Arabidopsis thaliana: one gene and its partners. The main gene of each other region encodes a partner of the protein of the gene in region 2 in a complex. Each region holds a gene or a part of one and is shown on either strand. Other genes may lie near its edges. The genes, in order: LSM3A, LSM6A and LSM1B.

Region 1 (3,753 bases), on a different chromosome or scaffold from region 2:
GAGATATTTGTTACACATTGGATTAAGATGTCGAAAACAATACAGCAGAACAATGAAAATAACCTTAACCAGTTGAGTACTGAGAAGTAGAGTTAAAACAAACCTTAGAGAGCTGCTTATATTAACCACTCCTTTCTCACTACATTCACAAACTTCATCACTGATGCAACCACAAAGATCTCTCACATCAAAGTCTCGAGATCATTCCAATCAAAGCAAGCTTACAAAAGCAGAAAATGAGACTTCATTTAGCAAAGCTATATACCAATCAAGAGAAGTGAAGCCAATTCCGTTATAATTCAACACCCAATTCCCTTTGTTTCAACTCCAATCCCATCCGATCATTCTCAAGTTTCATCCTTTCATTCTCCATTCTCATTCTCTCGAGTTCTTGATCCCTTTTCTTGCTAAACCTCTGCCACCTGAATCTCTGTTTCTCCAATTCCAGCAATTCAACTTGGATCTGAAGCTTCTGCTCTTCTAGCTGGAGAGTCCGCGACTCCATCCACTGCTTCTGCACCGAACCTGCTCTTCCACTCTCCGCCCCACCTTGATTCACATCAGCTTGAGAAAACGGTATTTGAGGTAAAGAGACTTTATTACACTCCAGAGAATTCACATGACTCGGATGATCTCCATCTTCATGGCTAAGGCTTGGTCTTATCTTCTTCAAAGGACCACCACCACCTCCATAATGATTTACCCTACAATCTCCATACGCATAATGTTGCTCCTCATACTCATCATGTTCATCACCATCACCATCATGATCCTCATCATCAAGATCCTCCATTTGATGTTTCCTAGAATCATCATTATCATGATCATCTCTGCTTCTAAGCGCCAACTGTAACGAACGCTGCAAAGCAAGGTCATGAGGCAAATGCAACCTATTCCCATTATGATACGAACACATCTCTTCATAAAAAAGATGTTTAGAACTCATAATCTTCCTAACATCATCCTTCTCTTTATCATTCAAGTAACCAATCGAATCCAAAAGCGCAGGATTCTCAACAACTTGACAAGATGTTCCTCTACCAAGCATATCATTAAGCTTCTTATACCGTTTATTCAAATCATTGAACTTATCCTCACATTGCTGCGGCGAAACATGATAACCTCTCTCAGCCATAACTTTAGAAACAGATTTCCACTTCCCTTTCTTCTGCAAAACAGCAAACTTTCTTCTACTACTACTATCTATACTCGAATCATCTCCTATATAAGAAACAGCAGTAATCAACAACTTCACCATCTTATCAGTCCATTTCACTCGTTGCCATGGAGATCCTTTAGTTGATCTATTAGCTTCATTATGAACACCATCACCACCTTCCTCTGTGAAACTTGGTTCATCATCATCACTCACTGAATTCTTCTCTCTTTCAGCTTTCTGTTGCTCAGACATAGACATGTTCTGATTCTGATGATGATCACAGGTTTGACCTGTAACCATAGTAAAGGGAAGACCTTCATGAAGTGGTCTAGAATTAGGATTGTGTCGATGCTGCTGATTCATGGAGTCTTGGTGATGAACTCTCATAGAACCTTGTAAATCAAATCCTCCATAAGATGAAGCTCCACTACGAACTACACCTCCTTGTGGAAAATTCCCATCCATTTTTGGATCAAATTTCTTCCTAATTCATCAGAGAAATCGAAGAGAAAACAGATCTCAAAAAGTCAAAACCTTTGTCAACAAAATTAGTACTGGATCTTAGGGGAATATTAAAGATCGAAACTTTAGGAGAGAATGAAGCAGAGAGGAATCGGGATGAAGAAAATAAAGCGGTAAATATATGAGAGATGAGTCAAAGGAAGTAAAACTCACAGAAAAAAGTTTGCTTTCGTCTTCTCCGGTCAGCTTCCTCAGGTTTCTCTTCTCTCTCTGTATATGACAAAAGGCTTTTTGATTAAAACAACCAATATAAAGATTATAGTAAATTTAGTGTAATGAAATGACCAATTGATACCTTGTGATTGGACTTAATATAGTTAAGTTCCACTAACCATGATTTATTTGCATTAGATGATTTATTATCTTCATAATACTTCGACGAAAAAAAAAAAAAGAGCTAACCATATTGGGCCGATATGAGAGCCCAAAAACATAGTAAAAGGCCGAATCGTAAGATGTTGGTTTGAAGTTTTTAGGGAACCAACGGTGGCGATTGCTTGAGCTCAGTCAGAGAGATATCGCCGAGAGCACTACAATTTCAAAACCCTCGGAGAAGTTATAATCAGAAAATGTCAGTCGAGGAAGACGCCACCGTTAGAGAGCCACTCGATCTGATTCGGTTGAGTATCGAAGAGAGGATCTATGTCAAGCTCCGATCTGACCGTGAACTCCGCGGCAAGCTTCACGTACGTTCTTAACCACTCGGATTCCAGAAACCAGTAACCAGATGTGATCTTTTTCGATTTTGAGCTCCTTTTTGAATTCCTTATTCGTTGAATTTAACACTAGTTTTTATTCTTTTCACAAATATCAAAATTTGGACCCATTTTGTTGAGTTTCAGTTTCGAAAGCCTCAGCGAGAGCTAATTGGCGTAGAAAACCTCATAATCTTGTTAAATTCTAAGACTCTCACTTTTGTTGTTGTTTTTGTGGTGTAGGCTTTTGATCAGCATTTGAATATGATTCTGGGTGATGTTGAAGAGGTTATTACGACTATAGAAATCGACGACGAGACATATGAAGAGATTGTTCGGGTATGTAATTCTCTTAGCTCAATAAGATTTATTAATCTATGTAGGCTTTAGTAGTAAGATAAACGTTTTTGGGTTCAAAATATTTCAGCTATCACAGTATCTATTGTCTATGTCTCTGTTTGAGTTTAAAGGAGAGCTTGATTCATGTAGAAGTTAATAGTGCTGGTTACATAGAGAGTGTTCATTACCAATATAGTAACTCTGTTTAGTTTCTCAAACTTGAATTTTGTTGTTTGCGCTCCAAATGTGATGTGCTAACTTCTCATTAGACTAGTGTAGAATCATATGTTCTTCTCCTGCTGATGTAACTTGCTTCTGTCAGACAACGAAGCGAACGGTACCGTTTCTATTCGTGAGAGGAGATGGAGTGATATTGGTGTCACCGCCTTTGAGGACGACCTAAATGTTCTTGTGTACTGGGATCGGAGTTAACAAATCTGGCGCTGAGTAAAAGCACTTTTTTCTGATTACTTGGCTTTTGAATTTGTAATTGTGTGGTATGTTTTTCTTTGTTGTCAAACATTGAAACCGAATGTAGCATTCGAATCTTGGTAATGGGTGCCTCGTTATAGTAGAATCAGTGTAACATACTTCGTATTGTGACTTTCTTACCGTTTACGATCGGATTTAGTTTCGTTTTCTGGTTTGGTGTAGTTTTCTCTAAAGATTTGTATACTTCCTCAAACTCATTGATTTCGAGCTCTATTATGAATAGTGATTGGTGACATATTTAGATGTGTGTAACCCTAGGAAAGACATTTTGATTAACCAAACCATCAAATTGATTCACAGTACAGGAGGCTGAAAACGCAAACAAGATTGATTTCATGAGAAAAGATTAATGTAATTGTAAGCATGTAAATTTACAGTAAAAAAAAGATTAGTGATGAAATTAAAAGTTTTGAGGTATCTATCGTAAGATATAACTTGTCATGATCACCAACACGCTTCGAGCATAGTAACAATGGAGAAGAGAAGTCTTATCTTCGTCTGGGTCTGGCTTGAACCGGAGAACCCATTGGTTGTGACTCTCTATAG
Region 2 (3,753 bases):
ATTCAAATGTGTCGATGGCTATGAATATGATAATCTGATGATTGACTGGTTATACTAGTTTGACATGTGTGTTTCCAGTGATCCCTAAATGACATAATTCGATTACTAAACTTTAATGATCTTCCTCGTTTCGATCTGTTGGTCACCCAAACTCAATTTTGTTTGCTTGTATGATTGTATCAAGCCATAAATTAATAATTTTTCTTCTTTATCTGGGGTCACATGGAAGAGTATCATATTACTAAGAAAAAAGTGATGTCTGTATCCCAAAAATCTACTGAAGAACATAGGATGACAATCTTGGTACATGTCTACTACTCTTTTAATATGAGGTAGAAGAAGACAACAAAAATGGCAGCCATAACATGACCACTGTTGTTGTTGTTGATGATCATGATGGGCCTAGGCTCCGTCTGCTACAGTCATGTTTACTGTACTGATGTAAAGAACTGCATCCAAAGAAACCACACTTAAAAAGAAAGATATACAAAGAAGAAGATTGAGAGAAGGATGAGTGTGAGAGATTTTAGTTACCGTTGTTTCCACGGATAAAGGCGTCACCATATTTGTTCTTGAGCTGCCCGTTTACATACTCCTCCGTCTGCTCCATTGCTATGTTCATATATCCATCAAGACAAGTAAGAGTGCCTGTGAAAAGAGTAATAAAAACTTGATCAAGAACTCAACATTAAGCTTGAACAGAACATAGACAAAACTGACTCGGGCACGAAAGGAAAGAAGTCAACAAGAATGATATAAGTAGCCTTGATAATGAGAGAAACTGACTTAAATATTCAAATATCTCAGTCAACTATTGTAACCTTATTGCAGGCAGAAAGGAACATGTTCTTAAGAAAACCATTGAACAATGTTCACAAGGAAACCTTAGAAAATGTAAGAAAAGCTTCACATATTGACTTTAAAAGAATCATTTAAAAGCTGAAGACATAACATGATAATTAAGTTACTTAAGTGGGCTTAATACAAGCAACTCTTTAATTCCCTTAACATAGACAAAAGAACTAGTCCTAAGTCAAAGCTTCTAACCTAAAGTGCAGCAGAGATAGAGAACTTGCAAAACACATAAGAACATCTAACGAGAGAGAGAGGCACCTCGATAATCAACACCAGAATTGAGCTTGACAACAACGGGTCTCCCACGGATGGATTTGAGGAAATCTGCAGGTGTCTTTGTCGTTCCAGAAACTTTCTCTTCAACTCCACTCATCTTTTAAGCTCGATCCTTTACGTAACTGCAGAAACAATTGAGATCTGAAATCAGTTTGGTCGCTCTTCGAACTACAAAAACTCAAAAGGTAAAAACCATTCAGAGTCAATCTCTCGAATCACAAAAAGACTCCGAAACCTAAAAACCTAAACCTTCAACCCAATAGAAGCGAATTCGATTGAAAATGTAAAGAGAAATCGAAACTTTAACAAGGATTAAAGGAACTGAAAGAAGAACTCCTTACCTGAGACCTACTCGAGTACGAGACACAGAGAGAAAGAGAGAGCGAAGAAATAACGAATCGGTCCTAAGGGCTTTTATTATTTATTTCCAAAACTATATACTATATGATTATTGTTATTTCGATTCGATCGAGTTTTCATATTAAAACTAATAATAATTGAACATTAGTCCTTATAGATTTTATTATTTTACTTTGGAGGGTGAAATTAAATCTCCAGTGCGTTTCGGTTCGACCTCACAGTTTCTTCTGTTCTCGTCTCTCTCTCGTTTGCTTTCTCTACAGATCCCTAAATCCTCTCCCTTTGGACCGTTAATCCCCCAAACCCTAGATTTTACAAACAATTCCTCTCAATCTCTCTAAATTCTCTTTCTCCTGCAAGGAATTTGCGGACTGTTTCTTGTGGGGTAAATCTTCTATTAGCTATGGGGAAGAATCAAGCTTACAAGGCTATGCAGAGATCTAGGGTTGGTTCCAGCTCCGCCCAGCCGGATGAGGTTGAAGACGGAATGGTTTGTACCTTTTCATACTCTCATCTTCTTCATTGCAAATTGATTCTGTTTTTTTTTACTTCTCCAAACAAAATTCCAATTTGGTTGATTTACTTATGGTTTTGTTGATCTTTTGTGTTGTTGGGTTATCGAGCTGCATTTAGAATTAAGCCTACAAGAGATCCTTTATGAGTCCCAATTTTGGGGGAAGAACTTGTATCTAATACCTGCTAGGTCTTGTAGACGATATCAAGTCCATGTTTAAATGTGATTTCGTAAAAGTGTAGCATCAGAGTTTGTGTTACAGTGATTCAAGAGTCTTTTTATTGTTGTTGTAAGCTGTGAACACAAAGAAGCATTTGGATTAGTCAAACTTTGATATTTTGCATTGGTACCGGAACATTTCTGATGAGGATTGTCTCAGGTGGATGGTTCATTTCATACACCAGAGTGGCATGCGGCTCGTTTGGCTAGCCTCAAGACTACACATACTATTACCTGGGAAGAGTATAAGCAGAAGCAAAAGGTAATCTTTTTGCCTTTTTAATACTTAAGTTCTTCTGTATGTTGTATGGAACGGTGTTCCTTGTTATAATGCCATAGAAGATAATCAATTGACCATTGATGATTTAGTGTTCATAAGATTGCTATTATTGTCGTCAATTTAGAAGCTTTATTCCAACATATCATTTTCTTTTCCTCTGCTGTTTATCATCTTCAGCCACAGATACGCAGTCTTTGTGTGTTTATATAAAAATGAGTGTGTCTTCCTTCTACATTACATCTATCCCTATCTCGCGGTTTTCAAGTAACTCTAGTCATGCTCATTTTTTAAACATTTTTATTATCTGCAATATCAGTTTTTTACTACTACTTGCAGCAGTCTCTCTGTATTGTGAGTATGGAACATTAGGAAATGTTTAACATTATATCTTTCTTTCGTGTAACATGTGTAGGAAGAAGAATTGAAAAAGGGAGAACTTGAAGCAGATACCGATAAACTGATGCGTGAGTATAGAGCTCAGCTGGATGCAGAAAGGTCGTTGAAACTCTCCAAAGGAAGGAACTATTCTAGTGATAAGTCACGAAAAGGTAAACATAATCCACTTAACTTAACATGACATCTAAACCTTCTTTCTGAGGACGTTATTAACTGGTCGCCAATGGTTCAATGACCTCGCAGATAAGAAAGACAGAGATTCAAAGAAGAAGAAAAGCAAAAAGAGAAAGGTGCCTTCTAAAAGTTTAGCTTATATCAGATAGTGTGAGGTTTTCTAGCTTATGCTAACATGAACCATGATCGGTTGTGTTATGAATTTGCAGCATTATTCGTCCTCAGAGTCGTCATCTAGCAGTGATGAAGATGAATCTAGAAGATCAAGATCAAGTTCGAAAAGATCAAAGAAGGAGAAGAAGCACAAGTCCAGCAGAGACAAACACTCTAGCAAAAGTAAACACGAAACCGATGGCCCTGTACCACTCTCTAGATTCTTTGGCAATTTGAAGAATTGACAAAAGCAAAACTGCAAATGAACTATTACAAAGAGTAAGATTGTCTTCAATCAAAATACTCAAAGTAGGATATGATTGCTTTCTTCCTTGTTGCAATGTTATATTTTTGACAATAGCTCATGTATTAATATTTGTTGGATTGAAAGTCGCAATGATGCCCACAGAATCATGGTTTTTCAGTTTATTTGCTTAAAAATGAAATTTGACAACATCAAAAGGGAATCTAGCAGAAAATCTTAGCACAACAAAATTTCTGAGAGATGAAAAAATTAAAGGAAATG
Region 3 (3,753 bases), about 17 Mb from region 2:
TGTTTGTGCCATATGTCTTCTATTTATAAAAGTCCTGATTGATCACAGAACCAATAAGTACCATGTAAATTTTGCAATGTGCGACGTCCTCTACTCATTTGCTCCATTTTTGTTCCGTTTGGTAGTAGCCATAGGCAAGCTCCTTGTTTAAAAGTTCCAAAATAGAGAAAGAAATTGCTTAACATTTTTTTCTTAAAAAGGTAAATAGATCCAAAGACAAAAGTACACAGATTTATTGTCATATTCATCCAAAATGAAACACAAGAATTGCGTCGATCCCCTAAGTCAACACACCAAAAAGGCTCATCATAAAACTTGCGAGCCAAAGCAGAGCATCAAGCCAATAATGAATGGGGATACAATCTGGTTTAATCAAAGTCAAGAAACTCCATTCTCTTCCTCATTGTTCCTCTCAGCTCACTCGCTTCCCTCTCCACCTTTTGTGCCTGCATCAACAGACAGATTCCCGAAAACCAAATCATCAGCACGCACACAGCATCACAAATGAATCAAATTTGGCTAATCAAAATGAACATGTTATGCGATGTCTTACCCTTTTAATCTCTGCCTCTGAGACGCGAATCATATGTGGAGGAAGCTCTTCTCTCTCCGTGTCCTAATACATAGTTTAAGGTCAAACTCAGTGAATTGGAAAACACGAGGTGACACAGCAAGAAAAGACAAACAAGGAGAAGTCTTACCAGCTCACCAATCAAAACAACATTCTCTCCACGGATTACATAGAGGCCTAAAGGAATGTCACAGTATTGTTCACCAACAATTACCCTCTCACACGCACCTTCTAGAACCGCATTGGCTGTGTATTTACAACGAACAAAAAAAAGTCAAATCTCTCCCGCTCATCAACAATATCGTAAATCTAGAAACATGGAAAGAAAAGTGAATACCGAATTGATCAAAGGAACGGAGTGTTCCCATTAGCTTTCTACCATCTCTAAGAAGCACAAGTAGTTTTCCTGCATCATCAAGAGCAGAGCCAACATACATAAGTAACTGATGCACATTGATTCATATCTAAAAAAGAAAACGGTACGCCAAATGAGATTGAGAACTAACTCATAGCCCAAAAACATCAGCAAAAGAAGATCATTGACTTTTAAACTCAAAGAACCAACATCAAAAAGCCGATAGTGAATTAAATTTCAACAAAGGTTAAAGTTTATACTTCGTAAGTTGAATAAAGAGTGAGCCAGCAACCTCAATCACATCTAATCTCTCACGCATGCTAAAATTTAGCTTGACAACAATAACTGATGAACAGTTAGATTTGACCCAATTAAAAAAAAACTAAAGCTTTGATTCAATAATCAATATCTTAATCAATGAATGTCTCTTTGAGACAATTCAACACCAAAATTGACAAGCTTTGGATACAGCCACAAAATAGTACAGCCTATATATCAATAAGAAGTCAAAATCAAACGTCAAAAAAACAGAGAATTGTTTGCAAAATTGAGCTCCCAAATGCGTACAGAGCCATCACGGCCAATTATTTTAACTACATGCATTCATACGGTTCAACAAATATGTGAAACAGAGAGAAAGAGAGACGGATTTACTATCGAGATAACTAGCGAGTGATGTTGAAAGATAAATTTCTTCAGGACCAGCCCACGACATCGCCACTGACTTTGAAATTGAAGAAAACTTTCGGTCTTTCTATAGAACACTACCGATGATAATAATGTTCGTCAGATTCCAGCTGAAGAGATAAGATTTGGCTATTGAACGCGAACTTTGACAGGAAAAAAAAAAAGTGAAGACGGAAAGAGAAATCTAAATTAGGGTTTTGACCAAAGGGTTTAAATTGATAAAGTGATTAAAAAAGATTGAGACTTTCGACACCTGATCGAAGACGGACACGGGTTCTTCAAAAAAATATAAAACCCAGATCCGATCGAACTTTGGCTGAGAAAATTTGTTTGTGGAAAATTCGAAGAGAAAACTAGCGAGCAAATCCGTCCACTGTCCCTTTTTTATTATTTTCAAGCAATGTCCACGATTTCTTAACTCGATAGATAAGACGTTGTACTTTAATACTTTAAGCACTTTCCAATTTAATGTTAAATTTCCTAATAATTATTGTGACTGAATGTTTCTTAAATAAATGAGACTAATCTTCCAAGCTAATAAAATATCTGTTTCGAATAAATTTTAATTTATGGACCAAAAAAGTCGATTTAACACTATTATTATTTACTGCTTGATTTATGTTAAAACGCTTTTATGGGTAAGTCATCCAATAATATATTCCCACGTAAGCATCAGATCTCGGCGGCGCGAAACTACGCGGCGTTCGCTTAGCACAAAAACGTAGCGCAGTTTATTTAAAGCAAAACAAAAAATTCTGTTTTCACACTTTTGCATTGCAGCATCTTGTAGCTAACAACATCATCGGAGAGAAAGCAGCTTCCCCTTCCCGGAGATATCGTACATAAGCTAAAGCAACCTTAACCTTCCTTCTCCACTGTAAAACCCTCAAATTAAGGTCACGATTTCGTCTTATTTTTCCAGGTTTGATTCACAAAGAACTTCGTGTTTTAACGATGCTATTCTTGGGGTAGGATTTAGGGTTTTGTTTCTATAGTTCACCGATCCTGTTCAATTTTAAGCTAAATCACATTCAATTTTATGATTTGCATCGGTTAAAAGACGCGATAGTTATCAGGAGTAGGGTTTGTTGTGGTATTCGAGAAGTTTCAGGAAAGTGAGAGTTTTCTATTAATGGCTTCTTTTTTTTGTATCCCGAATTCTTTGGGGTTAATTGGTGAAAAGAATGTTCTTTGTACGAAATTATATCCAATTTTCCAGCTTTACATGTTTTTGGAGATTTCTGGAATAAGTCTGAGATACTTAAGAACGCATCTGGAGATTGAAATTGTGGCATCCAATGTAGTTTCAATCGATTTTGTCTTTAAATTTTGTATTCTTATTAGATTGAGTTTCGTCTTGGATTGAGCGAATTTGTTTCATTGATGATTTTAGGGATAGATTGATCATGGCAACTGCAACTATGGCAACAGCAGCTGGAGCAGCTGCTCTTTTATATTACACGTTGAATCGGAAATTAATAGCTGGTCCATCTGACGTTGACGATGAGAATTCTGAAGCTTCTGCTTCTCGTCCTTCTTTGAGGATTGACCGTGTTTCGCATAGGCTTATTCAAGCTCCGGCAACTTGGTTGGAGACTATTTCTACTCTTTCTGAGACTCTTCGTTTTACTTACTCTGAGACTCTTGGGAAGTGGCCTATTGGTGATCTTGCGTTTGGGATCAATTTTCTCATCAAGAGGCAGGTATAACATCTCTTCATCGTTTTAACGGTCTTAAGTTCTGGATTTTTTTCTAATTATCTTGTGGTCAAAATTGAACTTTTTGTAATTGTGTACCTAAAACCGTAGGGACTTCTACATGTTGATCGTGTCTTTGGTGGTAAAGATAGTGTAGAACTTAGAGGATCAGAAGTAGCCACTGAACTCAAATATCTTTTGCACTTGTTGACATTGTGTTGGCATTTTTCCAAGAAGTCGTTTCCGTTTTTCTTAGAAGAGACCGGCTTTACAAAGGAAAATGTCCTTATTCATGAACCCAAAGCTGGGGTAAACTTTAACAACTCTCAACTCTTAGGCACTTTTTCAACATAGAAATTGAGAAGTTTAGTTTTGAATTTTGCACCATGTAGATATTGAAGCCAGCTTTTACGGTTCTTGTCGATCACAATACAAAATATTTT

The links.
Region 1: LSM6A (region 2) and LSM3A share a complex: the UniProt entries of both Arabidopsis thaliana proteins name them as parts of the heptameric LSM1-LSM7 complex.
Region 3: LSM6A (region 2) and LSM1B share a complex: the UniProt entries of both Arabidopsis thaliana proteins name them as parts of the heptameric LSM1-LSM7 complex.

What each region holds. Positions count from the first base shown.
Region 1 is NC_003070.9:7,419,354-7,423,106, reverse strand, and holds LSM3A (Small nuclear ribonucleoprotein family protein), read left to right. Parts: upstream 1-2,149; 5' UTR 2,150-2,250; coding exon 2,251-2,367; intron 2,368-2,619; coding exon 2,620-2,715; intron 2,716-3,037; coding exon 3,038-3,118; 3' UTR 3,119-3,443; downstream 3,444-3,753. Other genes in the region: AT1G21200 (sequence-specific DNA binding transcription factor), read right to left, coding at 293-1,624; SEC5B (Exocyst complex component SEC5), read right to left, coding at 3,696-3,753. UniProt on the Arabidopsis thaliana protein: Component of LSM protein complexes, which are involved in RNA processing. Component of the cytoplasmic LSM1-LSM7 complex which is involved in mRNA degradation by promoting decapping and leading to accurate 5'-3' mRNA decay.
Region 2 is NC_003074.8:22,094,316-22,098,068, reverse strand, and holds LSM6A (Small nuclear ribonucleoprotein family protein), read right to left. Parts: upstream 1,601-3,753; 5' UTR 1,473-1,600; exon of another isoform or gene 1,254-1,472; 5' UTR 1,229-1,253; coding exon 1,114-1,228; intron 649-1,113; coding exon 535-648; intron 450-534; coding exon 403-449; 3' UTR 103-402; downstream 1-102. Other genes in the region: AT3G59800 (stress response protein), read left to right, coding at 1,895-1,981, 2,385-2,486, 2,917-3,052, 3,144-3,190, 3,284-3,472. UniProt on the Arabidopsis thaliana protein: Component of LSM protein complexes, which are involved in RNA processing. Component of the cytoplasmic LSM1-LSM7 complex which is involved in mRNA degradation by promoting decapping and leading to accurate 5'-3' mRNA decay.
Region 3 is NC_003074.8:4,665,605-4,669,357, reverse strand, and holds LSM1B (Small nuclear ribonucleoprotein family protein), read right to left. Parts: upstream 2,051-3,753; 5' UTR 1,867-2,050; exon of another isoform or gene 1,757-1,866; 5' UTR 1,642-1,756; coding exon 1,581-1,641; intron 1,029-1,580; exon of another isoform or gene 1,009-1,028; coding exon of another isoform or gene 978-1,008; coding exon 909-977; intron 818-908; coding exon 702-817; intron 617-701; coding exon 554-616; intron 447-553; coding exon 369-446; 3' UTR 164-368; downstream 1-163. Other genes in the region: AT3G14075 (Mono-/di-acylglycerol lipase, N-terminal;Lipase, class 3), read left to right, coding at 3,020-3,316, 3,422-3,619, 3,703-3,753. UniProt on the Arabidopsis thaliana protein: Component of the cytoplasmic LSM1-LSM7 complex which is involved in mRNA degradation by promoting decapping and leading to accurate 5'-3' mRNA decay.